4 linked regions of the Xenopus tropicalis genome follow. The protein of the gene in region 1 purifies or fractionates together with the protein of each later gene. This does not show direct contact. Links are inferred from orthologs where the notes say so. Each region holds a gene or a part of one and is shown on either strand. Other genes may lie near its edges. The genes, in order: map3k14, cad, nfkb2 and timm13.

Evidence for each region.
Region 2: the proteins of map3k14 (region 1) and cad purify together in Homo sapiens (affinity purification with mass spectrometry; 3 studies listed by BioGRID and IntAct, with this or other methods). This does not show direct contact. The link is inferred for Xenopus tropicalis from reciprocal best matches to the Homo sapiens genes MAP3K14 and CAD.
Region 3: the proteins of map3k14 (region 1) and nfkb2 purify together in Homo sapiens (affinity purification with mass spectrometry; 6 studies listed by BioGRID and IntAct, with this or other methods). This does not show direct contact. The link is inferred for Xenopus tropicalis from reciprocal best matches to the Homo sapiens genes MAP3K14 and NFKB2.
Region 4: the proteins of map3k14 (region 1) and timm13 purify together in Homo sapiens (affinity purification with mass spectrometry; 3 studies listed by BioGRID and IntAct, with this or other methods). This does not show direct contact. The link is inferred for Xenopus tropicalis from reciprocal best matches to the Homo sapiens genes MAP3K14 and TIMM13.

The regions. Positions count from the first base shown.
Region 1 is NC_030686.2:17,614,210-17,622,979, reverse strand, and holds the start of map3k14 (mitogen-activated protein kinase kinase kinase 14), read left to right. Parts: upstream 1-4,346; 5' UTR 4,347-4,550; intron 4,551-8,770.
Region 2 is NC_030681.2:162,291,046-162,299,045, forward strand, and holds part of cad (CAD protein), read left to right. Parts: intron 1-1,379; coding exon 1,380-1,565; intron 1,566-1,973; coding exon 1,974-2,086; intron 2,087-2,410; coding exon 2,411-2,559; intron 2,560-2,819; coding exon 2,820-2,951; intron 2,952-3,735; coding exon 3,736-3,969; intron 3,970-4,533; coding exon 4,534-4,755; intron 4,756-4,940; coding exon 4,941-5,129; intron 5,130-5,222; coding exon 5,223-5,347; intron 5,348-5,502; coding exon 5,503-5,636; intron 5,637-5,736; coding exon 5,737-5,849; intron 5,850-8,000. UniProt on the Homo sapiens protein: Multifunctional protein that encodes the first 3 enzymatic activities of the de novo pyrimidine pathway: carbamoylphosphate synthetase (CPSase; EC 6.3.5.5), aspartate transcarbamylase (ATCase; EC 2.1.3.2) and dihydroorotase (DHOase; EC 3.5.2.3).
Region 3 is NC_030683.2:43,659,033-43,666,721, reverse strand, and holds the end of nfkb2 (nuclear factor NF-kappa-B p100 subunit), read left to right. Parts: intron 1-979; coding exon 980-1,046; intron 1,047-1,148; coding exon 1,149-1,321; intron 1,322-1,428; coding exon 1,429-1,540; intron 1,541-3,801; coding exon 3,802-3,902; 3' UTR 3,903-4,485; downstream 4,486-7,689. UniProt on the Homo sapiens protein: NF-kappa-B is a pleiotropic transcription factor present in almost all cell types and is the endpoint of a series of signal transduction events that are initiated by a vast array of stimuli related to many biological processes such as inflammation, immunity, differentiation, cell growth, tumorigenesis and apoptosis.
Region 4 is NC_030677.2:92,863,069-92,871,133, forward strand, and holds the end of timm13 (mitochondrial import inner membrane translocase subunit Tim13), read right to left. Parts: intron 6,400-8,065; coding exon 6,331-6,399; intron 4,272-6,330; coding exon 4,173-4,271; 3' UTR 3,291-4,172; downstream 1-3,290. Other genes in the region: tmprss9 (transmembrane protease serine 9), read left to right, coding at 1,463-1,624. UniProt on the Homo sapiens protein: Mitochondrial intermembrane chaperone that participates in the import and insertion of some multi-pass transmembrane proteins into the mitochondrial inner membrane.

The sequences.
Region 1 (8,770 bases):
AAAGGGCTAGTAGAAACTTTCTTCCTTCCTGCTAATTTGTAGGAGGTGCCATGTTGCTTGCCCCTGCTGTGACATAAGCTGCTAATGTATACATTATTCTTATTCTTTTATTTATATAGCTCCAACATTTACTGCTGTGAAAATACATTATGCCATCAGTGAAGCTTACAATCTAAGGTCCCTATCACATTCCCATCAGTCCCTGCCCCAGTGGAGCTTACAATCTAAGGTCCCTATCACATTTCCATCAGCCCCTGCCCCAGTGGAGCTTACAATCTAAGGTCCCTATCACATTTCCATCAGTCCCTGCCCCAGTGGAGCTTACAATCTAAGGTCCCTATCACATTTCCATCAGTCCCTGCCCCAGTGGAGCTTACAATCTAAGGTCCCTATCACATTTCCATCAGTCCCTGCCCCAGTGGAGCTTACACTCTATTATTATTTTATATCTCTTCCAATAGACCACTCTTCTGTTTTGGCACATGCAGAAAACTTCTGCTAAAGGAAGAAATATGACAGCTCCCAGGGGAGTAACTACAGAGGAAGCAGACCCTGCTGTTACAGGGGGGCCAGGAGTGTTGAGGGCCCAGAAAGGGTAAGGGCAAAGTCACACTGAGCTACTAAAGGTCCCCATACACGGGCCGATAGTAGCTGCCGATATCTGTCCCTTGGAGCAATTCAGCAGCTAATTGGCCTGTGTATGGGCACTTCCGATGAGCCTGCCCGACCGATATCTGGCCTGAAATCAGCCAGATCTCAATCGGGCAGGTTAGAAAATCTAGTTGGATCGGGAGCTGATGCGGTCCCCGGACGGACTTTACCTATGCCCATCATTATAATTTGATCGTTTGGCCCCAGGGGATTCTCCCGATATCGCCCACTCGTAGGAGACATGTCGACATTGCAAAGCGAGCGGATCTGCCAGTGTATGGGGACCTTTAGTACCAGCTACTAAAATACCCTGCCATAGACAATACTGAGACATGTAGAGACAATTATCAGTAAATGATCAGCATTGTCTATTATTGTAGCCATGACAAGTAAGCTACTTTTTCACGGCTACTAAATGCTAGAAAATATCCTGCCATAGAGAATACTGAGAATTGGCTCTGCTAAAACACACATAGAGACAATTATCAGTAAATGATCAGCATTGTCTATTTTAGTAGCCACGACAAGTAGCTTTGTGTGTCTTCACCCTAAGGGCAGTGGCACAAGGGGAGATTAGTCGCCCCGCGACAAATCTCAGTTACTGTGGGCGACTAATCTCCCTGCAATGCCATCCCACTGGAAAGAATGTAAATCGCCGGTAGGATGGCATATGGGTCGCTTTGTTTTCTCGAAGTCGCCCAAAGTTTCCTTGAGAGGCAACTTCAGACAACTTCGCCAAACGAAGAGTCAAGGGAGCACGGACTAGGGGTAGGCAGGAGAGGTACCTGCCTAGAACCCCCCTATCGTTGCGCCCTAGGCAGGTGCCTTTTCTGCCTATCCCTAGTTTTGGCCCTGTATAAATGTGTTTTTAAAGGGTAGCAGGAGTGTGAAATGGTGTAGGCTTCTGATTGCACCCCATGTGTCCGTAATGCAAATATTATCTCCACTTCCGTCTGCATTAAATACTAACCTAACCAGAAGCTCCTGGCCCCTGGCCAGCGAGTGTGTAGAACCGGTTCTTTGTAAGCATGTGATGCAACGTATGCTTAGGCACAACTACGTGCAGGCTGCAGAAGCACAGGGTGACTATTAACAGTAAATTAAGATGAAATTTAAACATTTTACATTTTATGTGCATGTATATGTAACAACATAAACGTTACCCTAATGTATCTAGTGGATAACTAATTTTGTGCAATTACCTGCATCAAGACAAAATGCATCTACACAGGGTGCCTTTTATTTGACTCGTTTGTCTATTTACACAGTGATTCCCTATGCCACCCAGTGCATATGCTCTATAGTGATTTTCCTCAGAGGTGGCCAGGCGGCGGGCGTCCCCAACGCTCCCCTCCTGTGCACGCACAAAAACCGTGTGCGCGCTCAGACGTCGTAAAGGGGGGGTGCTATGAAATGAGCAGTGGGGGCAGGAGATCCCACACTAGGGTTTGGCAAAAAAGGTACCTGCCTAGCACCCCCTCAATGTTGCACCCTAGGAAAGTGCCTCTTCTGCCTACCCCTAGATCCGGCCCTAATTTGTCTGTCTTTACTATACAGGTCATGTGCTGGCCAGGGTGGCGCTAGAAATCACTAACAAAATAGACAAAGATGGTGGCACAGCTCTCTAATGGACATTATATGTTTTGAGATTCTGCACCAATGCAACCAGAGCCCTTTAGCAGGGAAGATCTGTGCCTCTGAAGATGCCCCAGTAGCTCCCCATATTCTTTGGGCTGCTGTCACTTACCTGAGTTTAGGGACTGACTCACAATATACAGTATATATAGAATATAAAAGTCACCAGACTAATTCGTTATTAATTCAGATATTCATTACATAGCAGCTCGGAAATCAGTGCGATTTGCATTAGAATTATTTAATAATATCAACATCTGTGACAGATGAACCTTGTATTCTGCTTGATGGTTTGCAACAATTCCCAAAGCTCAGCTTTATAACAGCTGCCTAGAACACACTGAGCATGTGCAGTGCCACCGTCACTCCTTGCAAAATCCAGGATAGGGAGCTCCTGTGTGCAGCTTTGAAAACCTGAATCATTTCTGCTGGACCTATAGGCTGGTGCATTAAGTCAGTATATAAAATATAAATATAGATAAATATACAAATATAGTTTTGAGAGTTTAGTTCTACTTTAAAGCTGTCAATGCTGCAAATGATATGGGGATTGAGCATTTATGAAAACAGGATATTCTATTTTTTAATTTCTTTAAAGAATTTTTTAAAATATAAAATAAGTTTGAGTTTCAGTGCTTTGAAATAAAAATATGAGAGCACAATTAAGGGCAGATTTATTAACATTCTGATTTTCATGGTTTTCGAGTTTTTTGAAACCACAACTAAACTCATTTTCTCTAAAACTATGAATGTCAAGTGATTTATTAAAGCAGCCTTTTAAAAAAAAAAGCACAAAAAAAAATAGGAAAAACACATAGGGGCTGATTCACTAAAGTCCGAAAAAACGAGTGCTATTTACAGCATGCGTTAAAAATATTATCTCTTCTTATTTTTTGCAAGTTAACGATCGATTTACTAAAAGGACACTTATCATAATTAAGAAGCGATGTTCTTGTTATTATTTATCTGGTGATGAGCGATTTTTAAGCAATATTTTAATGCATGCAATATATTTATGCGCTATTTCGTATCACATGATATTAGCGCACGCTATTACATACGTAACCATTACTTTCTGAAAACTACTGTTCTGAAAATTACCATTTCCCTGAAAACACAAGCATGCATCACTCTAGGAAGATCACATACTGCAAACTCCGACTGCAAACTCCATCTTGTCACCACAGCAATTTTGTTCAATAACGCCTACTCCTGGGAGGCGCTAAGTTTCACAGTTTTACGCATTTAACGCTTCATATGTTTGTAAATCATGGGTTAGTATTATTTCTATGCGATAATTACCGCAATGCGATAAAAATAATGCTTTGCGATAATGCGTTTTTTTGCACATGTGATATGAGTGTTAACCCATACGAAATTACTTTGATGAATCGGTACTTATTTATCGCATGCTTTTTAACGCAAAAAAATATGCAATAAGTGTTAACGACCTTTAGTGAATCGGCCCCATATTGTCACACAAACAAAAAGCATCAAAATAATCCAAAAACCTCTAAAATCACGAAGCAAAGAAAGATCTTCCAGCGGCAAAAAGGAGACCTGCCATGGACTTCTACATGACCTGGGCAGCTTTTAAGTGGAGGGTTTTTCTTTTTATATTTGTCGCAGGTTTGTTGCATAATAAATGGTAAAAAAAATCATATATATTTTCCTTGACAAAATTGTATTTTTGCACAAAAAAAACAACCTTTAGTAAATGCTCCCCTTAGAATTTGCTGTTGAGTCTAACCGAGTTTCTGACAGCTGTGTGCATTCTACTTTGCCTTTTCTAATACTGTTTTTTAATACTGTCTACTATTTATTTTTTTTACGAGCCTTCATGTTCAAGTGTTCAATTTAGAGATTGCTTGCTTGCATGTGAAAAAAATCTCACCCCCGCACCAGTTTAGAGCATTCTCTAAACCAATGGCTGTTGTCTTCCTGTAAATATGTGCTCTTGCCTGGAAATCCCATGAGCTGAGGAACCAATCAGAATGTGCCAATGAGCTCACCAAAAGAAGGGGGGGGTAAGAGACGAAGGGGAGGGTTATGGAAGAAGGAGGTGCAGTTGCTGCTGTACAGGCAGTTGAAGTTAGAGGCAAGTGCCTGGGAGAGAAGTGAACAGTCTGGGAAAAAGTAGGGAAAAAATCAGTGAAAACTGGAGGGTGGGAGGAAGGAGAGTGGGGAAGAGAGCGTGGACTTTCTGTGGATACAGAGGAAGAAGACAGTGTGGAAAACTGTAAGGAAAATAAGAACAGGAGCTGGTAAGCAGTGCCGGGCTGAGTCTGAATGGGAGGGTTGTGCTTTTAAGGCAGAATCATGGCGCCTAATAATGTACAGTATATACTGTAGGTGTCACTTGACTTGGGCGCTAAAGTTGGCTTCCACCAACAGCGTAGTAGGTGTGTCTACATGCAAGAGTGGTCAACAGTTTGTGTGCAAAGCACTCTGGGAATATATGCACACTGAGGGGGGTCTTAAGGGGTCAAAAGGGTTGATTGTAGGTTCCGCAGAATATTTCTATGCAACGCAACAATAATAGATCTGAGATGTAATGTACAGTACTTACTGTATGTATCAGTTGTCTTGGGTGCTTAAGTGGGTGGGAGTATTAAGGGATCAATAGAATTGACTGGATTTGTCAACCACCTTAGCTTTGGCACAGAGTTGCAGATACATGAAAACTTTGTGCCGTCACCCTGCTGTAGTTCTACGAGTATGTAAATAAGTGGAGTACAATGGGCGGTGATAATAAAAGAACAGTTGATTTTGTGCACATTTCGCCACACTTACATGTGAGCAGAGGCTGCCATACCGATTGCCTTGTCTAAGGTAGCCTGGAAATACAAGTTTATGACCAGCTGGAATAGGATTCCTCCGCTCTTGCAATATGGCAGCTTCCACTTTTGTGTAAATGTAAGGAATATTCCTTGCACATCCACTACCTATACATAGTTTAACAAGAAAAGTTGTATAAGAGAAACACAACTGGTATAAGGATGATAAAGATATAAGGATGATTTCACTTTTACATGAGATGAAGGGTTTGCCTGTAGCCGTGGTGTATGAGACGGGACCCAAACTTGCCCCAACTGTAACCTTGGTTGATTCCAGGAGGCCTTATTATGGGGTTAAAATGACTATTATTGCTTAAACTCAATGTATTCTTTTGCATAAAGGTTTACAGTGAGTATTTAATTATTAATCCACTTTAAGCCAATGAATAGCATCTTATTTTTTTGGAGATAATGTCCTTTTAAATGCTTGGTGTGGGGTGAGTGTGTGTTATTTTGGCATGGTCTGTTACATGAGTGAATTTACATGAGAGATCCTGTGCACAAGTTCTGAGTGGGAGGCCAATGCTGTGACTCATTCGTCAATACTCTAACTTGGATTCCAATCCAATCAGACAGCCCTCCCACATGTCCCAGCCTGATGGCAGCTGGTGTGTGTCTTAGTATTACTTGAAGTACAGAAGTACTGCTTGGGTACTTACTCCAGGTGGAACTTACTGCGGGTGCAAGTAGGGCAGTTGCACTTTATGGGTAGGTGGGCCTCATTACTGATATCAAGAAGGAAACTTCTTACTCCAATGTATGCCACTTCTGCACATGTTGGAGTCCAGCAACATCTGTAGGGTGGCAAATTGGGCAACAGTGGCATGAAATATTACTCCCACTATCTTGGCCTGGTAAACCAACTACCCCTTAACTGCTGTTTTTCAGGGTGTTGGACACGGGCAGTTACTTTTGTTTGTGTTCCCAGTAGATATATCCACCTGGAAGCTGTTGGTATAGGAGCAAAATTGCATGGTGCAACTTTTCTACTAGGGTATGAAGCTGTAGATCTTATGGTATTAGAACTTTGGCACATATTGCAGCAAAAATAGCATCTTCCAGATGAAAACTTGCGGATCAGTAAAATCCATGATTGTCACCTAGAAAACATGGATGGCTGCATATTAGGCAAGAATCACAGACCATAATCTACAAACAGCTCCTACTGCTGGTGTCAATAAGAAGTGACCAGTGGTTATTGGTATCATTGATATCATTGTTATCATTGTTATATTGTTATCGCTAATTTGACCTGCAGTGATTGCCATTGTTTTATCACTAATTTGACCTGCAGTGATTGCCATTGTTTTATCACTAATTTGACCTGCAGTGATTGCCATTGTTTTATCACTAATCTGAACTGCAGTGACTGCCATTGTTGTATCACTAATTCAGACTGCAGCAATTTCCACAATTTCCGTCTTATCACAACTTTGATCTGGATTAATAGCAACACTTATACGCATGCCATGAGCCTAAAACTAGATAACAAAGTGTACCAGTCTGCATTTTTACTTTTAAGTTAGAGATACACCCACAATCCACCTTGTCAGACCTTTCTATAGAAAAGGTCTTCCGTGTCACATTGCCTTTAGCCTGGATTTATCATTGAGGAATGCATATAGAGGTATTCTTTTTATAACCCCACAAGAAAACATCAGATTGGCAGACCCCTAGGTTGCACCTTCTATTTAAAATATAAACTCAATGCACTAACAGTGGTCATTGGTACTTACATGCTATAGTGCCCATTTTTTGGGGCAATCTTGGGATCAGTGATGGTGAAGAGGTAGCACAAAACAAAAGCAGTGAGTGGTGAATTTGGGGTGAATTTGAAAATGATTCTGCGTTCAGTGTTGGTGAAGGTGCAGTAAATGAAATAAAGCCATACATTAGAGTGTATCTGCACATGGCCCTGAGAGCAGTGATGATGAAAGAGTAGGACTTGACAAAGGGAGCAAGTCAGGGCAGATTTGGTCATGGTTCTATTGGCCAAAAATGTCCCGAATTTTGGATCCTCTCTCTGGCCTGTTGACTTGGGCTACTGTCAACGATTAAAGCAAATCTGGATTGTTTATTGGATCTCTTATAATAAGGAAATAAAGGTGGACAATGGTCAGATGACTATGTGCATCTATGTAAAAACTTAGAGATGGATTGAACCCATGATTCAGTTTGGGATTTGGACATCATGTGACTTTAAAAGACTTAAATACAGAGCAATATTTTGTTCACAGATAATATAATTTTTTATTTGTTTCAAATTTGAATATACAAGTAGGGTTTTGATTTGGTTCAGCATTTGACCAAATGTTGTATGGAGGATTCAGTATTCAGGCTAAATCGATAATTTATGGATTAGGTTCAAAATGTCCTGTTGATGCCCATTGCATCCAAGTTTTACTTGCAACACGGACATCATCAATAGCATATGCGTCATAGAGGCCAGTCATTTCTAGGACAGACTGCCCAGGTGTGCCCGAAGAACTACATAGGGGGTATGGTTGAAATTTGGGGTAATTCTTCATTTATTTTTGTGGTTTAAGCTGGAACCAAAAGAAAGTGCCTATTTTAGCCATATTTCCATCAGTATGTTACCTTGTTACAAACTTGTTCTGCGCTGCGCAAACTAAATGTTGGGCAGAAAAGGGGTTCTTCAACCTAAAAAAAAATTTGAAAAGTTTTGCTAGGGCAAGGATGGAAGGGGTTAACCAAATACCAGCAGTTATTGTTGTTGCCACTCCCTGTGTCTTTGAGATAAGGATTAGAGAGTTTTTGTTTGTATATGGTTGTAGTCCTAAGAGCTGTGGAATCTGTGTTACTCACCAAAGTATGTTTTGGTGTATATGAACAGTTATTAGCATGGACTTTGATACCAGGATCACTGATTATACACCACTATACTAGATCCAGAGAAAAGCAATTGCACTCTCTGCACTAGTGCCCCAGAATTGCCACTGTTTTAATAAGTGGTGTTTTGTCAATAGTTCTTTGTTACTACACTTGGTATGCAAAAGAGCATCTACCCTCATTCAGGGTAGAGTGAAAAGCAGTAGAGGTATGGGACCCATTATCTAGAATGCTTGGGACCTGGGGTTTTCCAGATAAGGGGTCTTTCTGTAATTTGGATCTCCTACCTTAAGTCTGCTAAAAACGTTATTTAAACAGTAATTAAACCCAGTAGGATTATATTGCCTCCAATAAGGATTAATTATATCTTAGTTGGGATCAAGTACAAGGTACTGTTTTATTATTACAGAGAAAAACTAAATCATTTTTAAAAATGTGAATTATTTTATTAAAATGGAGTCTATGGGAGATGGCCTTTCCGTAATTTGGAACTTTCTGGATAATGGGTTTCCGGATAAGGGGTCCGATACCTGTATCTTTTTTAACTCTATGGGATATGGCATTAAACTGAGTTTTCTGCCACCTGTGTGATGGCTTGGCAGGTGGGCAGGCAAGCAAACACTCAAATTTGGCTCATCATTGAGTATATGGTAATAATAATAAAGTGGGTCAGGGAAATATGGCTTTACTGTTTGTAATTTACAATGTCAAGTGTTTCTGACCAGTGATGCACCAGTAAGGTCAGAGTTATTACTATGTAACTCTAGGGGGCAAATTTGAGTGTTTTACTGCCTGCT
Region 2 (8,000 bases), on another chromosome or scaffold:
GGGTCTCTCCAAATACCTTTATTAAGTTCTATAAGTTAAATGTTTATGCTTCTCAACCGGCCGTGTTTGGCCGAAAAGTTTTACAAGCGGCTGTGGCATAGTGCCAGGAACACTATACACGGCATACTAAAAGTTTTACCCACCCAGTTAAGGGACAGCTTTGGAACGTCCCCTAACGTCTGCACTGACAGGAGGGCCGATAGAGAAAAGGAGATTTTATACTCACCGGAAAATCCTTTTCTCGTAGGCCCGAACTGTCAGTGCAGTAAGTCCCACCCAGGCTGATTTAGTATGGGCACCGGGACCTCTCTTCTCGCTATCTTTCTACCTTATGTCTCTTGGCCTTCCTTCTATCTGTACTGTCTCCACCGACTGAGCTTACCAACAGAACTGAGGAGTGAGGGTGGAGACGAGCCTTATATACAGTGGGAGGGACCAGGAGCCACTAGGTCTAAATTCTCTGTCCTGCCTCCAGAGGTGATCACAGACAAAACCCTTAACGTCTGCACTGACAGTTCGGGCCTACGAGAAAAGGATTTTCCGGTGAGTATAAAATCTCCTTATCTGATCCCCCCATTGTAAGCAGCAGTCCTGCCCTGCTTTATGGCTGAGATTCTAGCTATCTGTATAACAGAGCATTCTGTCACAGTGGCACAGATCCTATCTGATCCCCCCCATTGTAAGCAGCAGTCCTGCCCTGCTTTATGGCTGAGATTCTAGCTATCTGTATAACAGAGCATTCTGTCACAGTGGCACAGATCCTATCTGATCCCCCCCATTGTAAGCAGCAGTCCTGCCCTGCTTTATGGCTGAGATTCTAGCTATCTGTATAACAGAGCATTCTGTCACAGTGGCACAGATCCTATCTGATCCCCCCATTGTAAGCAGCAGTCCTGCCCTGCTTTATGGCTGAGATTCTAGCTATCTGTATAACAGAGCATTCTGTCACAGTGGCACAGATCCTATCTGATCCCCCCATTGTAAGCAGCAGTCCTGCCCTGCTTTATGGCTGAGATTCTAGCTATCTGTATAACAGAGCATTCTGTCACAGTGGCACAGATCCTATCTGATCCCCCCATTGTAAGCAGCAGTCCTGCCCTGCTTTATGGCTGAGATTCTAGCTATCTGTATAACAGAGCATTCTGTCACAGTGGCACAGATCCTATCTGATCCCCCCATTGTAAGCAGCAGTCCTGCCCTGCTTTATGGCTGAGATTCTAGCTATCTGTATAACAGAGCATTCTGTCACAGTGGCACAGATCCTATCTGATCCCCCCATTGTAAGCAGCAGTCCTGCCCTGCTTTATGGCTGAGATTCTAGCTATCTGTATAACAGCGCATTCTGTCACAGTGGGATTAACCTGAATGTTTGCCCCCAGGTACGGGAATCGTGGGCACAACCAGCCGTGCATCCATGAGAGCTCTCGGCGCTGCTTCATAACCTCACAGAACCATGGATACGCCGTGGACCCAAACACTTTACCGGAAGGCTGGTCTCCTCTGTTCACGAATGCCAACGACCAATCAAATGAGGGAATTATCCATGATTCTAAGCCCTTTTTCAGGTACTGGGGGGACGGGGGCAGAAAGAGTGCAGATGCAGGGCAGTATGGGGGTACAGCATATTGTACATTCCTTCTCTGTATATTTGTATTTATACATATGGGTAGGGGGTGCCATAGTGTTTCCCTTAGACAGTACAGTATGGGGGTACAGCTTATTGTGTGCCCAGAACATTCCCTCTCTGTATATTTGTATTTATACATATGGGTAGGAGGTGCCATAGTGTTTCCCTTAGACAGTACAGTATGGGGGTACAGCTTATTGTGTGCCCAGAACATTCCTTCTCTGTATATTTGTATTTATACATATGGGTAGGAGGTGCCATAGTGTTTCCCTGTAACATTTCCGTTGCCGCTTGGTATGTTTAAGAGCCCCAGCGCTTGCCCTAATGCCCAGTTCTTGCCCCCCAGTGTGCAGTTCCACCCCGAGCACTGTGCTGGGCCCATGGATCTGGTCGGCCTGTTTGATGTGTTCCTGGACACTGTGAGAGACCGGAAGGCTGGAGATTCAGGAGAGAAGACGGGTGAGTGGAGGGGCTATGGGTACTAGGGGCCCGAGTGCTGCCCGTGGGGCAGTAACAGAATGGGGGGGGGATACACACTGTAACCTGGGGCAGATGCACCATAGGGGCCCGAGTGCTGCCCATGGGACAATAACAGAATGGGGGGATATACACTGTAACCTGGGGCAGATACACCATAGGGGCCCGAGTGCTGCCCAAGGGGCAATAACAGAATGGCAGGGGGATATACACTGTAACCTGGGGCAGATGCACCATAGGAGTGGGAGCTGATGGCTCGTGAGTCTGGTTTAGGGATTTACCCCCCTCCCTGTGTTCCCCCCCCAGTTAAACAGCGAGTGACTGAGCTGCTCACATACAAGGAGTCTCCCAGTGTCACAGACCTAGAGGCCTCTCGCCCACACAAAGTGCTGATCCTGGGCTCAGGGGGGCTGTCGATTGGCCAGGCCGGGGAGTTCGACTACTCTGGCTCCCAGGTACATTTCCCTCCCGGCCGCAGTGTTATTGCCCCCCCTGCACCCCCCGTTCCTTCTCTCTGTATTATTTCTCTTCTGAGCTGTGCAGTGGGAGGGGCAGGCGCCATGTCCCATAACTCCCTGCTGGCTGTCATTCTGCAGTGGGAGGGGCAGGCGCCATGTCCCATAACTCCCTGCTGGCTGTCATTCTGCAGTGGGAGGGGCAGGCGCCATGTCCCATTAGGGGGGGCACGTGAGTTACTTTCCTTTGCCCCCTGCAGGCCATCAAAGCTCTGAAGGAAGAGAACATCCAGACTGTCCTGATTAACCCCAACATCGCCACAGTGCAGACATCGAAAGGCCTCGCCGACAAGGTTTATTTCCTGCCAATCACCCCTGAATATGTCACTCAGGTAAGTGTTTCCCTCCTCATCCTCTCTCTCCAGCAAGGAGGCTCCTGTCTCTATAAGGGGTTAACTAAATGGGTGGAGCATCACAGCTTGGTGTTTGTGGGGTTCACTTGGCAAGTCTATGCGCCTGGGAGGGACACGGGGCTCCCCTAGGGAATGGGAGCCCAGATGGGCCAGTACCATAGAAACATAGAACCCAGTAGGGGAAGAGACTGGGAGGGACACAGGGCTCCCCTGAGCAGGAAGTAAGGTGGGGCATAAATAGTTTGATCTCAGGCAGTTAGCCAATAGGAAGCTCTGATGGCCCAGTAGGGGAGGAGACTGGGAGGGACACAGGGCTCCCCTGAGCAGGAAGTAAGGTGGGGCATAAATAGTCTGATCTCAGGCAGGTATCCAATAGGAAGCTCTGATGGCCAGTAACCATAGAAACATAGAACCCAGTAGGGGAGGAGACTGGGAGGGACACAGGGCTCCCCTGAGCAGGAAGTAAGGTGGAGCATAAATAGTCTGATCTCAGGCAGTTAGCCAATAGGAAGCTCTGATGGCCAGTAACCATAGAAACAAAGAACCCAGTAGGGGAGGAGACTGGGAGGGACACAGGGCTCCCCTGAGCAGGAAGTAAGGTGGGGCATAAATAGTCTCATCTCAGGCAGTTAGCCAATAGGAAGCTCTGATGGCCAGTAACCATATAAACATAGAACCCAGTAGGGGAGGAGACTGGGAGGGACACAGGGCTCCCCTGAGCAAGAAGTAAGGAGGAACATGAAGAGTCTGATGTCCTTCCCAGGTGATAAAGAATGAGCGGCCAGATGGGATCCTCCTGACGTTTGGGGGTCAGACTGCATTGAACTGTGGGGTGGAGCTGACCAAGCAGGGAGTCCTAGAGAAGTACAATGTGCGGGTTCTGGGGACCCCTGTGAAGTCCATTGAAATGACGGAAGATCGCAAAGTGTTTGTGGAGAAGATGGAGGAGATTGGAGAACACGTGGCCCCCAGTGAGGCAGCTTTCTCCTTAGAGCAGGTAAGAGATTACTGTGGGTGTCTCTTGTGTCCGTGATATGGGGGGGCATGGTGTGACTGCAACTCTCTGCACAATAAGTTCCCCCCCAGTATTGTGAGATAAATACAGCATTGCACATAGAGCTTCTGTAGTCACGCACAGGAAGCAAATCAGCCTGGCCAATCAGCTGGGTAGGAGGATCTATTGGACCAACCAAAAAAGTCCCTGCTAAAATAATTGTGACACAGCAAATTCTCATGGTTTACAGTAAGTGCTACACATGTGATCGCCTGGCTACATGTATGTTATGTGCGTGTAGCAATGAGCCCTCCTCTTGTTATTGCACTTTATGTACCATCTGTGCCACCTGTGCGGGCAAGAGCCCAGTGATGGTGTATAACGCAGGGTGGCAGGGAGTGGGGTAAGTGTCATTTAAACCTGAAATCACAAATGGCACCCGTAATGAAACGCCAACCTGCCGGGAATCTTCCGGGTCCCTGAAACCCACACGCCTGGCACAGTTCTCTGCCCATATGCCCCGTGCCCACATGCTGCTTCTTTATATTAATGCTCTTGTGCCTCCAGGCCCAGGCTGCTGCAGAACGTCTCGGGTATCCGGTTTTGGTCCGGTCGGCCTACGCGCTGGGCGGCCTTGGATCTGGATTTGCCAGTACCAAGGAGGAGTTGACTGCCCTGGTGTGCCAGGCCTTCGCCCACACCACACAGGTCCTGGTGGATAAATCCCTGAAGGGCTGGAAGGAGATAGAGTACGAAGTCGTGCGGGACGCCTATAATAACTGTGTCACGGTGAGAATGCCCTACTCACGGGGTAGTGCCCAGGTGTGGGCGGCACACAGGGTTGGAGATGGGCTGGGGCTTTGCCCACCTGCTGACGCGCAGACCAGTCGTTCCATCATGGAGCCTTAGGGGTACATTGGGCTAAATGTGTGCCAAGTCGGTGCCGCTGAACCCTTCTGCTCTTCTCCTCCCAGGTGTGCAACATGGAGAACGTAGATCCCCTGGGCATTCACACTGGCGAGTCCATCGTGGTAGCTCCCAGCCAGACGCTGAACGATCGAGAGTACAACATGCTGCGCAACACGGCCATTAAGGTTATCCAGCACCTCGGCATTGTGGGCGAGTGTAACATACAGTACGCCCTAAACCCGGAGTCTGAGCAGGTAACTGGCACCCTGGAACCCAAACGGGTCATAGAGTCGGTCCCAAACCTGAAGGGCACTAACATATTGGGCTTTATTCCTTCTCCCCCCCAGTATTACATCATCGAGGTGAACGCACGGCTGTCTCGCAGCTCAGCCCTGGCGAGTAAAGCAACTGGTTACCCCCTGGCGTATGTGGCTGCCAAGCTGGCACTGGGAATTCCTCTGCCCGTTCTCAGGTACAGCGCTCTGTGGCCCTGCAAGTTCCTCAGCTTGTCCCTGTGGAGGCTAAAGACTGGGCCACTCATTTTGTAGTGTCCGTTGAGCTTTCCCTCTTTGTTGGGGGTCAATCACGCTGTGGATTTCACTTGTTATTGCCATTTTGTTTGCCCAGAAACTCCGTGACCAACTCCACCACAGCCAACTTTGAGCCCAGCCTGGATTACTGTGTGGTGAAGGTTCCGCGCTGGGACCTGAGCAAGTTCTTGCGAGTCAGCACCAAGATTGGCAGCTCCATGAAGAGTGTGGGTAGGTGAATATGGGGCTTTGGGGGGGGGGGGGGTATTAGATGTGGGAGGTGTTTGTTGTAGTAGCCCCTCCGTGGCTAAACTGTTCCCTACTTCCCTAGGGGAGGTCATGTCTGTTGGTAGGAACTTTGAAGAAGCCTTCCAGAAAGCTCTGCGCATGGTGGACGAGAACTGCGTGGGCTTTGATCACTGCATCAAATCCGCATCTGATGAGGTAAGTGGCACGTAATGGCTAATAATGTCATGTGTTTATGGGTTGGTCCTTATTGGGCGCTAAGTGTGCTAATTTGGCATCCAGGATTTGGTTTCAGGTTTTGGCCAAGATTCTGCCATTTTCAGCAGGATTTGGATTCTGCCCAATCAATGTGTCTGGCTGAATCCGAATCCCTAAAATCACATGAATTTTCACCACATAAACACGGAGGTTGAACATTTTTCACCATGTTCTGTGGGGTTCAGACGAATCCCAAATTAGTGGATACAGTGCATCCCTATGACAGCGATGTGTTCATGGGTCAGTTCTTCCTGGGCCCCAATAATACCATAATCTGTTCGGCCCACACCCCCTGTTCATGGGTCAGTTGGATCAACTAGTAGTTAGGCAGGTTATATATAGGCATTATGGTTGAACTTGATGGACGTATGTCTTTTTTCAACCCAACTTACTATGTTACTATGTATGTTACTATGTAGTTCTTCCTGGGCCCCAACAATACCATAATCTATTCGGCCCACACCCACACACCCCCTGTTCATGGGTCAGTTCTTCCTGGGCCCCAACAATACCATAATGTGTTCGGCCCACACCCACACATCCCCTGTTCATGGGTCAGTTCTTCCTGGGCCCCAATAATACCATAATCTGTTCGGCCCACACACCCCCTGTTCATGGGTCAGTTCTTCCTGGGCCCCAATAATACCATAATCTGTTCGGCCCACACACCCCCTGTTCATGGGTCAGTTCTTCCTGGGCCCCAATAATACCATAATGTGTTCGGCCCACACCCACACACCCCCTGTTCATGGGTCAGTTCTTCCTTGGCCCCAATAATACCATAATCTGTTCGGCCCACACACCCCCTGTTCATGGGTCAGTTCTTCCTGGGCCCCAATAATACCATAATGTGTTCGGCCCACACCCACACATCCCCTGTTCATGGGTCAGTTCTTCCTGGGCCCCAATAATACCATAATGTGTTCGGCCCACACACCCCCTGTTCATGGGTCAGTTCTTCCTGGGCCCCAATAATACCATAATGTGTTCGGCCCACACACCCCCTGTTCATGGGTCAGTTCTTCCTTGGCCCCAATAATACCATAATGTGTTCGGCCCACACCCACACACCCCCTGTTCATGGGTCAGTTCTTCCTTGGCCCCAATAATACCATAATGTGTTCGGCCCACACCCACACACCCCCTGTTCATGGGTCATTTCTTCCTTGGCCCCAATAATACCATAATGTGTTCGGCCCACACCCACACACCCCCTGTTCATGGGTCAGTTCTTCCTTGGCCCCAATAATACCATAATGTGTTCGGCACACACCCCCTGTTCATGGGTCAGTTCTTCCTTGGCCCCAATAATACCATAATGTGTTCGGCCCACACACCCCCTGTTCATGGGTCAGTTCTTCCTTGGCCCCAATAATACCATAATGTGTTCGGCCCACACACCCCCTGTTCATGGGTCAGTTCTTCCTTGGCCCCAATAATACCATAATGTGTTCGGCCCACACCCACACACCCCCTGTTCATGGGTCAGTTCTTCCTGGGCCCCAATAATACCATAATGTGTTCGGCCCACACACCCCCTGTTCATGGGTCAGTTCTTCCTTGGCCCCAATAATACCATAATGTGTTCGGCCCACACCCACACACCCCCTGTTCATGGGTCAGTTCTTCCTTGGCCCCAATAATACCATAATGTGTTCGGCCCACACCCACACACCCCCTGTTCATGGGTCAGTTCTTCCTGGGCCCCAATAATACCATAATGTGTTCGGCCCACACATCCCCTGTTCATGGGTCAGTTCTTCCTGGGCCCCAATAATACCATAATGTGTTCGGCCCACACCCACACACCCCCTGTTCATGGGTCAGTTCTTCCTTGGCCCCAATAATACCATAATGTGTTCGGCACACACCCCCTGTTCATGGGTCAGTTCTTCCTTGGCCCCAATAATACCATAATGTGTTCGGCCCACACACCCCCTGTTCATGGGTCAGTTCTTCCTTGGCCCCAATAATACCATAATGTGTTCGGCCCACACACCCCCTGTTCATGGGTCAGTTCTTCCTTGGCCCCAATAATACCATAATGTGTTCGGCCCACACCCACACACCCCCTGTTCATGGGTCAGTTCT
Region 3 (7,689 bases), on another chromosome or scaffold:
TGAAGTAAACACACAACTTTTACCAGTGCAGGGCAGCAGCACATTATATTTAAGTTACTTTTATACACTTTCATTTTTTGGTGTTACTGTTCCTTTAAAGGAGACATATTGTGTAAAAAACCATGTGCCAGTGCATTAAACTCCTCTATCTATAGAAAGAATGTTCTTAGAAAAGATAAGTTTTGAGCTGATTTAAACATTTCTGCATAATCCTAAATAGTCCCACCCATCTGTTTCACTTCTTGCTTCACTTCCCAGGCTGTACAGGGGAGCCGGCGGCACTCATGAACCAATCAGCAGCTAGGCTGACCTGATAGGGAACTGAAGCCTGTCCTTGCGTGTGACTGCAGGGCTGTGATTGGCTATCCCCCTCCTACTGTGCTTCTGGCAGGGACTGTTAGAACACACCTACCCCTTATCTGAAACAGGGACAGGGTCTGTAGCAGATTTACAGGAAGCTCCAAAAAAGGGGCCATTTTTAAAGAGACCAGACAGCCCAGAGTGAAATCAGCACCATTTATTATTTATTGTTGCCTACAAGATTAGAGAGGTTTTCAGTTATGCTATATGTCTTCTTTAACCTTTGTCAGATGGGGCCCTGGTTTATAGCAGAGGTCAGGTATGGCAGCCTTGGTTTAGAATGCAGTATGAATGCATCACTACTTATAGGATAAAAAACATACTTAACGTTGCATGCAACCTCTTTAGTGGCATACTATATTATATGTATATTTGCTGCCATATTATCTTGTATATTGGCCAAAATATATACTGCCCTCTAGCTTCCTCCTACACCCATAAGCCCTGTCTGTTAAGTGTGTAAAACCTTTCTGTTAGCTCAGCAAAATGAAATCAAAACTTTTCAAAATAAAGAATCTCCAAACTTGAACCCTACAAATTGATTTTGAAAATGTAACTAATGAGTTGCTGCTTTTATTTCTCAATGGCATAAATTAATATTATACTTTGATTTCATTAGGTGCGAGATATTTTGTCTAAACACACTCCTGGCAGTGCATCCTGGAAGCGGAGAGAACCAGAGCCAGGTAGTGTATGACTCTAGATTCACTCTCATTATCACTCTCACTGCAGATGGAGTCTATTTTCACTGATCCGTCGCGCTTACATTTCTTTATATTGAATCCTAGTAAACGTTCTTGCTCTGGAGACCAACACAGTACAGCGCCTTGAAAAGCTTTTGAACGAAGGTCAGACTGGGGCAGACTGGACAGAACTCGCGTCAAGGCTGAGACTGCAGAGTTTAGTGGAAACCTATAGGAACACTTCCTCACCTACTGAGAGTCTCCTGCGCAGCTATGAAGTACGGAGTCGATTCACATCTTATCCTTTTAAACTAATTGCTGTAGCAGCCATTATTCAGTGCAAAATAGGAAACTCAAAATAAATCTGCACTTTTTTTCTCTGTAGCTTGCTGGCGGCAGTCTTACAGAACTGATTAACACTCTCCAGTCGATGGGATTGAATAAAGGAGTAGAACTCCTGTGTAAATCAGAAACCTATGCAAAACATCAGAGTCCAGGTAATTCCTCTTAGTCTGACCCTGCTCATGTTTATAACCTAAAATATATGTTTTAGCAGTTCATGTGACTCACTTGTCTATAACCTCATCGCTAGTTAGCAGCTACAGGTTTGCCTGTGCTTCTTAATTCTTAAAGGGAAATTCATTCTTACCTGGCAAAAATAAATATATATTTTTACATATATATATAATATATATAATTCCTATAATTAGTAGGAAACCATAGTCATATGATTATGCCTCACCTTGTTCCATGTTGTGGAACCATGTTGCCCTGCCTCTGGCTCACAAGGAACATTTCTCCATCCCCACCCCTTGACTTCCTCCTGCTTTTTTTGGGTGGGAGGTGCACAGATTTACTTGAAAGCAGAGAGACTTCAGGGGAGGTGAGTAAATGTTCCCTTCAAGTCATGAGCAGACTATCATGCCTCTCTATCTGAGAAACCCGGTATGTCTGTTTAATAAAAATAAAAAATGTATTTTTCTTGACAGTTCAGATGGGCAGGTGTGCCATCACCCTTACTGCACATATTAAGCTAAAACAAAATATTTGCCAAAGAAATCCACGCTGGTATAATGCCCTTGTATCCCCAAGCTGCTCCCAGCACATATTTAGCCTCTGCTTTGGAGTATTAATGCTTCTGTGTTAAGCCACTCTATTAAATGAATGAGTTCCTGCTGAGATACTTAGTGACTTCTGTGCTAAAAGTTCAGCTTGAAACTTAAACAGCATCGCTCATCCTTTTAGGACTTGTCTTGCAGTTACACAAATAGCTCGATGTCATCACTCTTTCTTTATATCCTATTCAGCAATCCTGAAGTGACCTACTGACATTTTTATTAAGTGTTGCTACTGTGCTGTGAATCTGTTGGCACTAAGCTGCATGCTATTGTACATCTGAGTCACATCTAGAAGGAGAACAAAGCCTGCCATATTGGCGGAGTAATTGCTCATCTCTCTTTTAGCCCTTTGTCTACATTTGATGTTTTATAACTTTTATAGGCGCCAATGGGAAAATGTTTTATTATACAATTTGCGTGTTAGTATCCACTCATTGTATTTTGGAAATCTTATTAAAAACTGTCAATATTTGAAACAAGTAATAACTATGGGTAGGGGGAACAGTGTGATTTGGTGGCACCTTCATTGCTGAAGAGGGAAATTCTTGGTGACTCAATAATAAACCAAAGCTGTTGTACTGTGTTAGCCAATCAAAAGCTTATAGAAGAGGAAACATAGCAAAAAGTGGACCAAAGGAGCTCTAATAATAATCACATTAAAACATGCTCTGAAAGCCTGTTCTGCTTATTATTGTAATTATCCAAGTTAGTGCGCCTTTACTCCACTCTTTATGTTTCATCTCAAACGTGCACCCACAGTGGCTTTTACTCTCCATATCAGTGTCCCGTGCATGTACGAAGATGGTCAGTTACAGGCATCACACACATGCATGGGCCAGTGATTCCGGTAGCCAGATGGCCATTTATGAGATTGCAAATAGGTAATGGCACGTGGGGTGTTTCATAGCTGTAATTCTCTTCACTTCTGCAGAATTGGGAATGATCTGGTGGAAGCCATTGTTCTCTTGTGATACTTGCTTAGTACACGCTGGGATGTACCATAGGCAGTAAAATAGGAAGAGTCTGCCTTTGGTTTAGAGTGTTTTGTCCAACCAAGTGTATATTATTTCATTAAAGGGGTGGTTCACCCTTAAGTTAACTTTTAATATGATAGTAGAATGTTCTATTCCTAGCAACTTTGCAGTTGGTCTTCATTGTTTAATTTTTACAATTTTTAAATTATTTCCCTTCCTGTTCTGCCTCTTCCCAACTTTTAATTGGGGGTCACTGACCCAAGCAGCTAAAACTCTATTGCTTGGTGATCTTACTATTTTATTATTGTTACTTTTTATTCCTTATCTTTCAATTCAGGCCCAATCCTATTCATATTCCAGTCACTGCCTGGTTGCTAAGGTAAACAAGACCTTGCAACCAGCTGCTGAATTTCCAATTCAGAGAACAGCTCAAAAATAGCCAAATAACTGAAAAACCACAAATAATAGAAAAATGAAAAACAGTTACAAATTGTCTCGGGATATTAATGCCTATGTCTGCTAAAAGTTAATTTAAAGGTGAACATCCCCTTTAACAATGTCACTTTCAATATACGGTAAATGTAATTCAATTCCAGTACAGTTAAAGTGTTGCCCATTGTTGTGCAGTTTGTTTTGGTTTTTTTAAAGTTGCCTTTTTCTCACCAGCAGAAGGGAAGAACGACAGCGCTTATGAAAGTCAGTCTATGGAGGTGGATCAGTCGTCTGCAGAGCTTTCCCCAACCACAGAGCCAGCTATTGGACAGTAAGCACCAATCACACAGTGCTCTTTGGAGGAGAAAAGTGCCTGGACCTGTGACATTACCCTGAGGTCTGCGAACTCCGTGCCTCGAGTCTGTCTGACCCCAAGTGTAGTTGTGCTGTCAATGGACAATTCTGACTTTAAGCATTTATACTGAAAGATCTGGATAAGGAGACACTGGCTGTTTTTAATGCTTGGCTGCAGTAATCATTTTCAGGAATATGCAATAAACCTGTAAGAGAATAAAGAGGTGTGACAACCTCATGTACAGCCCCCCACAGTCCCCCAGGGATTTTTGGTGGTGCGTGAAGACAAAAAAAATGGCCCTAAAAAATCCTATACAAGGGAATTGAGATCTGGAAAATTGCCCTCTGGTCAACTCTTCACTCTAATAATATGCTCTTCTGTATGAAAATGGATGCACTAGTCATTAATAGGGTTTTAACTTCTGCGGGTGATTTTCCTTTCCCAAGCAATATTTTTATTTTTTTAATTGTTTTACTGTGTGGTTCTGTCCATCTTTGCCTTTACTCTTTTATGTAATATTTAAATGTTTTATTTTTATTACAAATAAATGTAATTTAGTCAAATTGTTTTTTTGTGATTGTATGAGCCATAGGAAATGACTGCATGTCCCACTCACGCATCATGGCCCACTGCGCTGCCATGAATTATAAACCCCCGCCCATCTCTAATATCATTGGGGGTGGGCAAAAGTTTATAAATCAAAAATGCTGGCATGAATTACAGCCCATCATCACAGAGCATAGGCCTGCTCCCTGCTGATAAGTAATTCATCGGCTGAAACCCACCCAACCAAAGGGTAGAAGAGGTACCTTCCTAGGGTGCAACTGGGGGAGGCACGTGAGTCAGGTACTTCTGCCTAGTCCAGGCTTTCTTGGCCCAGCCGCCACTTGACGCCATGCATTCCCCTGGCGACATCACAATCACACACTTGTAGGTGTGCAGACTCATGTATGGGAAGGGCTGGGGGCTTTTGGGTTGCCTAGTGCCCCCAGCCAGCTTGGCCCACCTCTGGCAAGACTATTAGGTGGCTATAAGTTAGTTGTTGATTTCACTGCATTACATGAATATAATTCACTTTACCATTTAATATGTTATTCTTGAACCAACAAATGTATTTTTTTTAGTTGTAATATTGGTGTGTAGGCGCCATCTCAGTGCATTGTGCCTGATTCTGAGCTTTCAGAAGAAGCCAGTGCTACACATTAGAACTGCTTTCAGGTAACCTATTGTTTCTCCTACTCCCATGTAACTGGAGGAGTCCCAAGCCAGACTTGGATTTCTTACTATTGAGTGCTATTCTGATACCTACTGGGTAAATGTCCAGAGAACAAGAAATCTGTTTTTTTTTCATCTTCCCCCACCACTATACCATGGTGTAATGAACATTCCAGCCATTACCTGCTGCCTAACTCTGTGCTGCAGTATTACTGAGTATATAGACACTGCTATTATCAGATGTAACCTTTTCTTGTTCTTTTAGCCTATTTGCATTTAAAGGGGTAGTTCAGCTTTAAATTAACCTCTAATATGTTAGAGAATAGCTGATTAGTCTTTATATTTTATTTCTTATAATTGTTATTATTTGCACCCATCTTTTGACTCTTTTTGACTCTTTTCAGCGTTTAGCTTTTGCTCTTTGAGGCTTTAATTTTATTATTTCTACTTCTGTTACTCCTCTTTCTATTCAGTCCCTCTCATATTCATATTCCTGTCTCTCATACAAACCACTGCCTGATCATTCAGGTAATTTGGATCCTACTCAGTTCACTGACTAAGAATTCCTGCAATTGGTCATTTCTCCCTGCATCTGAATTGGCCTCCTGTACACGCTGCCAATCATCCTATAGATTCCAAATAAATACAAAGCATCCGTAGTAACAGTGTTGTTTTAATTTAATAAACGTATGGAAAAACCGAACACATATTTTTTTTTTTTTTTTACAAAGAAAAACAGTTTGGCATTTTTTTCAGTTGCATGACTTGCAGTCAACCAGAAGAGAAAAGAAAAACATTGTATTCAACATTCTTAGCATTATTAACTAGTGATACAGTAAGTACATCCTCTGAGCAAAATACGTACAAGCCACTGGCCTCATGTCTAGAAACAGAGTCCTTCGGCTGCTAAAGGGGCACAGCCATGGAGCCAGTCCTTCTGGCAGCTAAAGGGTTAAACATTAGGAAAGAACATTGATCAGAAACCGCAGGGCCCTTTTGTGCTGCAGGATGCGCAGAACATTGCAATCCCAAAACTACAAAGGAATGAGGAAACGAAAATCATGCTCTTTATTTGATTACACAAAGCATAGCACTGATCTAACAGGAAAAGAAAAACCATTACCGTGTTCACACACAATATACACCGAAATGCATTGCTGACCCCCCTTTGAGATCCGAATATCTTGCCCCTGCGTATGAAATAGCTGCTGAAAGCATGCATACAGGGTCAGGGCTTGTCAGACCTTCACTCGCTGATCCACACCAACCACTGGATAATGAGGGAACGTCTCAAGGCAAAGCTCGTACAGTCGCAGTCTAGCCAGGAAATATGTGCTGCTTAAGGCTGGAACGTATGGAGCGCTGACCTCTATGTCATATTCTATCACTCCATCTTCTACTTACGTACAATAGCTTTCATTTATTGTGGAGAAAATTCCGTTCTGCTTGTGGAATCCGAATTTGACATGAACAGAAGAATATTAACCCAGAACTAAAATGATTATGTTAATCAAATATTCCCTTCAAATGGCAGTAGGTGGCATCTATATATCTGCACTGAATGATACATACAACTCCTTATGATAAAATGCATATAAAAATGATTTCCCAAACCTGTTGGGGCTCATTTAACTTACTTAAAAATTGTAAGGGGGAATAATACCAGTGATGTAGTCATGTGTTGTTTTCATTCTGAGAAATGTTTCCACCCCAAAAGTCCCCACTTTTATACATTTTTAGTGTCTTCTGTGCTGTTGCTTGGCAACCACTGAGATCACATCAGGAGGTAGAAACCAGAGAACTATTACATCCCCTTTCCACTAGATTTTTTTTAGAAAGGTCAAAGTATTACAGAGAGAGAGAGAGAGATGATCCCTCAGCCACGGGCACACAGATATTTAGGACTATGCTACTGTCATCACAGGCAAAGTGGCCATAAAATAATGTCTTTTAATTATATCAGCACGTCTGATATTTAGCCAAGATAGGAGGCGTAGATACCCTATGTTTGAGAATTAAATGTTAAGCTTAATGTCTTTTCCTGCAGGCCATCATGGTTAGCAAACCCTGCCCGTATCAGGCACAGGAAGTAGAGGGAATGGTATTGCTACGGAACCACTTGCTATATATCCACATTCAAATTGCTCTCTCTGGCCGAGGTCTGTTGCACATAAACTGGGGAAGGGGGTGCTGTCACATGACTCTTCTACCTGCCTGGCAGTCAGCAGGACTACTAGCCAAGGGCCAGTCAGGAGGTCTGTTTGAGATGAACTTCATATACTTTCTTGTTCTTTCCATTTACAAATACTTCCATTTATGCAGTTTTTATCTCTCCAGCAAATCACAGGAACAGTTTGGGATCATTAACTTTCCCTATGGAATTATAATTAAATTATTAAAAATAATGAACTGAAATGTATACAGAATAATTATTTTAACACTTTGTTACGCAAATGGCACTATATTTTTTATTTGCCATGTCCCAAAATAAGTAAACTTGGTTTATACCATATAAACTCGGAGTGCACCCGTGGAGCAGTTATATATATATT
Region 4 (8,065 bases), on another chromosome or scaffold:
TATATGCTGGAGGTTGCTGTGCTACCCACAGGGGAGAAGGAGGCAAATGGATTTAAGGCAGTGATCCCCAACTAGTGGCTCGTGAGCAACGTGTTGCTCTCCAACCCCTTGGATGTTGCTCCCAGTGGCATTAAAGCAGGTGCTTATTTTTTAATTCTTGGCTTGAAGGCAAGTTTCAGTGGCATAAAAACCAAGTGTATTGCCAGTCCATGTAGGGGCTACCAAATAGCCAATAACAGTTCTTATTTGGCACCCCCAGAAACATGTTTTATTCTTGTAATGCCTTTTTACATTTCAGTGAGGCTCACTGGTAAAAAATAATTTGGGGACCCCTGATTTAAGTGTGTCTTAATATGACAATATAATTTTTTCACATATGAATGGTGATATCCTTACAGTGAGCACCAACCATGCTGCTCTACCATTATTAATGTGGGTATGGTCTTAAAAGCTCTTGTGATAACATGGGTGTGGTTTGAAGTGAGTGCAGTTTAAAAAAGGGTAGTCAAAACTGGCTTCCATTAATGGCCCTCCACCATGTAGGCCAGAAAAATTCTGGCCCTCGGTACCACAGAAGTTGCACAGCACTGCTTTAGATCAGTGCTGTCCAATTTCTGTGGTACCGAGAGCCGGAATTTTTCCGACCTACGTGGTGGAGGGCCGATAATGGAAGCCTTTTTGAAACCGCACTGCCTGTGTGTGCCATACACTGCCTGCGTGTGCCATACTTTGACTGTGTGTGCCATTCTTGGCCTGTGTGTGCCATACTCTGCCTGCCCTACCCTGCCTGTGTGTGTATGGCACACACAGGCAGCATACAGTGACACAATGCTGGAACTGCTCCTACAGTCTGGACAATAACTATATATTAAAAAAAATTTTAATTGCAGTACCTACAGTCTGAGGTGTGAAAAGGGGAACATTGTGGGTGATTAGAGCCTGAGCCTGAGGTGTGAACACTGCAGAGGGTGAACAATGCAGAGATTAAAAGGTGTGAACAACACAGGGGATTACATTTTTAAACAATACAGGGGGATTACAGCCTGAATCTGAGGTGTGAACCATGCAGGGGGGGCAGTTAATCTCAGTACTGATTACCATTTAAAGCTTACACAAGAGTAAGGCATCAAAGCAGCCAGACAGGTGGGGGGCCACACAGAGGGGGGTCGCGGGCCGCGCCAGTTGGACAGCACTGCTTTAGATCATTTAGTAGTTAGCCAGGTTTCACTTGAAGCTTGAACTTGATGGTCATGTTTTCTTGCAACCTCATTTATTATGTTTAGATTATATTATGTAAACAAGCAAACTTTAACCTTCACACATGGTCTGGAGAGAGAATGAACAAGCTAAATGTTTGTGCGTGTTGCCTTTTTACTGTAAAGTAGTAAAAGTAAGGCAATTTTATATTTGAATCAGGAGCAAGCCATTGTCCACTTCTAATGTATGTGCTTTCTCTTTCCAGGGTGATGCTGGGGGACCCTTGGCATGTAGGGAGCCATCTGGTCGGTGGTTTCTAGCAGGAATAACCAGCTGGGGTTATGGTTGTGCAAGGCCTTATTTCCCAGGAGTTTACACTCGGATAACATCTGTCCGCAACTGGATTGGACAGAATCTACGGTTATGAAGATTCTGACTCAGGGTGTGGCACAGATGGGCAGCCACTTGGAAATAGCTGGTGGGACAAACTTGAAGGGCCATATTTACCACCTGGTTACATCAAACATATGCAATTAACCCAAAAGACATTTTACTGCCCATATTGCTTTATTCACTTGTATGCTTTCAAAGCAGAACATTTAGAGTATATTTTCTATAAATAAAGGTGACCTGTTATTATGACAACGTATAAGGACTTTGTAAGTGTGCTTATGTGTAACAGATCTTAATGTATAACAGAGGATTCAGGGTGGAGATGTAACAAATGACTTAATATATTTCCTACACTCAGGAAAGTCATACACACCTGTCCAGAAAAGTTTTTACACTTTCAGATAAAGAGTAACTGACCCATAAAGGTGGCTATACACGTTAAGAGTCTTTCGATTACTTAGCCCTAGGGCTGATCGGTCCGACAAAAAAGGCGGGTATATGAGTCGTTGGACCGAGAACCGCATTAACAAGCTTGCGGTTCCAGATGTGAGGGGAGAATCAAACCTGCAGATTAAGATCTGGCCAATTTTAGGCCAGGTATCTGTCAGCAAGCCCTTCAGGGGACCCACACATATGATAAGCTGCTGAAATAATCTAAAGGACCGAATTGGCAGCTGAAATCTGCCCGTGTATGACCACCATAAGACTATTAGCCTTGTTATGTGTATAGAATAGAAATATTGCTTAAGTTTTAAAAGGATTCAGTGTTTTTGCTGAAAAGCAAGTGTGAGAAAAACTTACTAAGCAATAGCAATAAAAATTGCCAATATGTTATGCACCCCCTAATGAATTCCAATTGTTACAGGGTTTTTTTTCAATCGGACCAGGGCTCCATTTATGAAAAAAATGCAGGGTCATCATCTTTCTTACCTTTGCCAGGCATGCCTCATCAGACTTAGATGTGTGCCTGCACATTTGAGTACAGTTATCAGATCTTACGTTACCGTGAACACGCATGTTTAAGTCTGCACTAATCTTAGCAATTGAATTCAATAGAGAGGGGTATAAAATATTGATGACCCCTATGCAATTGTGAGAGCACAAATTTTGAGTGCAGTACATACATTTTTAATCTCAAAGAATGTTGTGTGATAATACATAAATTTGTACTGAGAAAATCTTATCACAGGTCATGTATTTACCTAGGTTGCTCATGTTTGTATTAGAAGAGCTCTGATCTTGTTTCATGAGCTTCCAAGATCAATTACATAGGCAAATGATTAAAACCACAAACATATCAGTAGTTTCACAGACTGGAGAGCAAAGGTGGCCATGCAACGCAGCGAAATTATGGTATGAAACAAGGTTTCCAACAATATTCAGTTTGTGTGTGGTGGGAGACAAGGTGGCCAATATTGGCAAAAGCCTTGGATATTGGTCATTTTACCAACTGGAAAGTATGGAAAGTTTTAATATGGTGCCTTCAAAGGACATCAGCAAAACATTAATGTTGAATAGTCAGAGGTAGAATTCTTTTTTTTCTACCTGCATTTCAGCTCTTAACATTAGTAGAGAAAACAATCTTCCTGCGACCATTGTAATTGTCACGTGTGTGGACGCCTTTGAGACTTTACTCTTCAGTCTTTAAAATTATCAATATGTCTGTAGCCTCAAAGTAAAATGATGCATACTTATCCCACTGATAAAGAGTAGAATTTATTCAAAACATTCCAACAAGGCCTGAAGGCTCAGCAAGTTGGCAAAATCAGTTTTAGCTTTAAATACTATAGTTATGCAATTAATGTACCCATATATTAATTTATTATTTTGTCTGGAAAATGAAATCCTACACAAGACCAAAGTTCTGCTGCAATTATGTATGAAAACACATTAATTTACCAACAAATTAGATAGTTTTGCATTAGATCTGCAGAGTTCCATGGAAAATGCAACCGTCAATACAAAAGGTTTAGGCCTCGGACACATTACAAAAATTGTTTTATTTCCATACTCTAGAAAACAGGATTTCCCACACATCGGTCATATTATGTGATGCTGGAGAAAGCGGTTAGCTCTCTAATTATGGTAAGAAATCCCAATTTCTCTAAGACCTCCAACAGGAATATAATATTTATTTTAGCACTGACACACAAAAATAAAAAGGAAAATAGGGCTATTATGACTAAAAAAGTCAAACTACAATTAACCAGCAATTTATCATATGTAAATCCTGCCTATCTGGAACTGGATGGCTGCACAACAGCAGCTGTAAAAAAAACTTCATGGCTTATGAGATTTAACTCTTTAAGAAAATAGGTTTTGAGAAAAAATTACCAGTGCCAACACTATAGATTCTAGAGTTTCAAGTATGATGGAAAAAAAATGTATTGACTAGTCGTTAAATTATTGTTTAACCCTTGAAATAAACTAAAACATGGTCAATAACAGTTAGTGATTCCTGCATTAACAGTTAACATTTTTAATTAGAAATGTATCATTGTCTGGTAGTTGTCCTTTTCTATATTTCTAAATCAGCTCAGTGCTTGTGTTGTAGATAGGTCTTGCAGTGTTCTTTTATCAGGTCACATCTTGGCACGTTCTCGTTGCAATCTGGAGTTGTATGCCCGAGAAACTGTGTTCCAGGCATCCATATATCTGTCCATACACATTGCAATACATTTCTACAGAGAGAAAGATAATGAAGCATTACAAAAATAAGTCTGAGCAAGAAAAAAAAATCTGAGTGTTATGGTTTTGAAAAGTCAAAATATTTTGACACTATGAATATTTTGCTCTCCAACCAAAAGTCGACTCTTGGGTGGACTTTTCCAACAGTAAAGCTATAAACTATGTAGAGATTTTTATACAAGAAAAACAGTAGCTCCATGGGAAGACAAGTTAAATCTTAGTCTGAGTTTTTAAATTTCTCAATAAGGTTGGCAGATTAACATTTTCCACCTGAAAGGAGAAGGAAAGGTAAAAACCAAGTAAGCTTGATCAGAAAGGTCTATGTAAATACAGCCATAAGCTCTCACAGAAAAGCTGCATGGAGTCCTCTATCAAAAGAAACACAGCTGCAGCAGGAAGCTACCAAGACCAAGCTAAAATGCCAGCTGCTATCGGAGGGAGATACTAAGGTTCTTTACTCAGGTATAGTTAAGCTTTCAGCTGAATAAATATAGCATTCTATGTGGCACTAATGTGGCAAATCTATTGGCAGTAAAATGCTCAAAATTATTTTCCTTCTACTTTAAGAAAAGGCCCCAGGCAGTTCTGCTCCCTCCCCAGCTACACAGCATTTGGGCCCCCTGGAACATGGGCTCTGAGTCACCGCCATTATGAAAATATGCCATCTGCTGCACACTTTGCCCTGCCCCAGTATCTTTTACCCACCTTTTACAATGAAAGTAAATGACCAATGACAGTCAATCAATGAAAGCCCATCTTCTGAAATAAGCTGGATGGGGTTGATTTACAAACACAACTGCTCAATTACAGTGCAATGCAGTTGTCTATAGCAATTAATCAGGTCATTGCTCTCATTTTTAAATTGGTAGTAGACTGAATCAATTAGCAGTTATGCCTGAGCAAAAAGGTTTTAAGCAAAAAAAGATTCTAATCAATCAATGAAGGAGAGCTAACAAAAGGGATGCAGGAGGTATTCATTTTATGATGACAAAAAAGTGTGATGACATAAAAACTGGACCATTGGGTACTATTCCCTTAGAGGGGACTCAGGTTAGTTAACACTTGTGTTCCAGTGCAGTGGGACTCATCAACTCAATTTGGCCTAACATCTGGAGTGGGTAAACAAGCCTGTGTATGGATAGCTTAAGGGCAGTGGCACACGGGGATATTAGTTGCCCCCGCGTCAAATCTTCGCCACCGCAGGCAACTAATCTTCCAGCAATACCATCCCACCGGCAAGAATGCAAATCGCCAGTGGGATGGCATACGTGATGCTTCATTTTCGTAGCAACATGTAATGCCATCCCACCGGGGATTTATATTCTTGCCGGTAGCATGGCATTGTGGGGAGATTATAAATCGCCAGTGGGATGGCATACATGCCGCTTTGTTTTTCATAGCAATGCATAAGCCATCCCACCGATGATTTACATTCTTGCCGGTGTGATGGCATTGTGGGGAGATTAGTTGGCCGTGTTAATGAAGATTTGTCCCGGGGTGACTAATCTCCCTTAGTGACACTGCCCTTAGACAATGAAGTACAATATCTGATTAGAAACCAAAATGGTGGCACATACTAGTTGTTCAGAACATTCTATTCTCTCTCTAGATAAATGCAGCCGAGACTGTCACAAATGTAAGATTAGGCCAACACAAATTTTGGCACCATAGGATGAGTTTGATATAGTCAGACAACTTAAATGTTTTGCAGTTTATGGAGAAACGATCTCTGTTTAGTTTAAGGCAGAGGGCATTTTTAGTAGCTTAATACAAAGAATGCCTTAACCTCCTTTTGCTAATGGGTGAGTGAGAAGGACATCTTGTTTGTGTCTGGCACCACAGGTTGTCTTTTTTTATTTTTTTAAAGCAGCCATGTAATCAAAAGCACACTCTCCAATACACAGACAACTTGTCCTACACAGTAAATCAACATTCTCCTGTCAATTATAGTCACATCTTTACTTGCTTGTCAATCTTCTAAAAACCATGCAAATGAGTTCTCAGTGTTGAAACGGTTTAGTGTATTGGCACCAAGTATAGTGGTGAACATACCTGCTCAGAATTGTCGAGAGATCCACCTGGCTTTCCAATACATTTTCGGAAACATTTATCAGTCATTCTCTACAAAAGGAGTATGTTTAGATCAGTATTTACACAGAAAACCTTTCATAGAATAATAAATATTTGATTATAAATCTTTATTAGTTCTGCACAACCTAATGTTCTCCATAACAGGAGACCTAATCTGCACATTATGCATAAACTACTAGTTCTTTTGTGACCAAATGTTTATTTTACCACTGTAAGAACAAATATCTCTCAATTACCTAACCAGTTTCATAAATGCTGTAACTCTTCTGTTAAAAAGCAAAGTATCGCTAACCCCTAAAAAAAAAAAGCAAAGTATCGCTAATCCCTAGCTAAAAATGCAAAGTAGCGTAGCTGCTTACCAACTGAAGACTCTTCGGGTCTCACTGCTGATGCACAGTTAAAGCAGATTTCCTGCTACCTCTAACTGCACATGCGCAAGCAGGTTCGTATCGGCAGAGAGACCCAAAGTCTCTTAAGTTAGTAAGATGATGTCGGCCAGGTACGCTGCTGTGCTACTCTGCATTTTTAGCTAGGGGTTAGCGATACTTTGCTTTTTAACAGAAGACCAGTAAATGCTATCTGCTGATTGATTGCTACAACTAACTAGACCTGTAGTACACTTTGACCAAGATGTTAAAGGAGAAGGAAAGCTAAGAACTTAGTAAGCTTTATCAGAATGGTCTATGTAAATACAGCCATAAGCACTCACAGAGTCCTCTATAAAAAGAAACACAGGATTTCTTGTCTCCTTTTGTGTATACATATACTTTGGTATCTGACTTCCTCTCAGAAAAGTCCTTCATTCAGGGCCCGGAGTCTGTGCAGCTCTTCTCCTCTCTCCTGCTCTCCCCTCCAAAAAGAATTTAAAAGAATGAATCCCCCTCCCATCAGAATGTGTGACATATGCTACTAACAGCTAGAGCTGCAGCAGGAAGCTGTGGAGACCAAGATAAATGGCAGCTGCTTTCTTAAATAAACAGAGGGAGTTTCTAGGGCTGCTTACTCAGGTATGGTAAAGCTTTCTGCAGAATAAATATAGCGTTGTAGCTTGCACTAATGTCGCTAATCTATTGGCAATAAAATGCCAAAATGACTTTCCTTCTCCTTTAAGGTTGATTTTACCTGTGGCAATTTCTTGTGATCCTGGACAAGTTAGTTAAAGGAACAGTAACCTCTAAAAATGAAAGTGATCTTAAAGAATGGCAATATAATGTACTGATGCCCTGCAGTGGTAAAACTCAGTGTTCAGAAACACTACTTTTGTTTATATGAACAAGCTGCTCAGTAGCCATGGGAGCAGCCATTCAAGCACAGTACACACGGTTGATAACAGATAAACTCTGTAGTATACAAATCTGAGTCTGCACAGCTTACCCGTTATCTGTTGTGTAACCTGTGCCTTTTTGGCCTTGCTGTGTAGCCATGTGGGGAGCCATTCAGCTTGTTTATATAAGCTATAGTAAAGTTTCTGAAAAAAAGGCACCAGTTGTACTAGTGCAGTACATCATATTTTAACTACTTTAAAACACTTTGATTTTTGGTGTTCCTGTTTCTTTAATCTTCTGGTGTTTCAGCATCCTTAGGAATACTTAGGAAGACTTTTGCAAACTGTCACTGTGAAAATCCCAACTTTATCAAATTGTCACTGCGACAATTTGAAAAATTAGTAGTGATTTTTGGACAAAACACAGAAAGA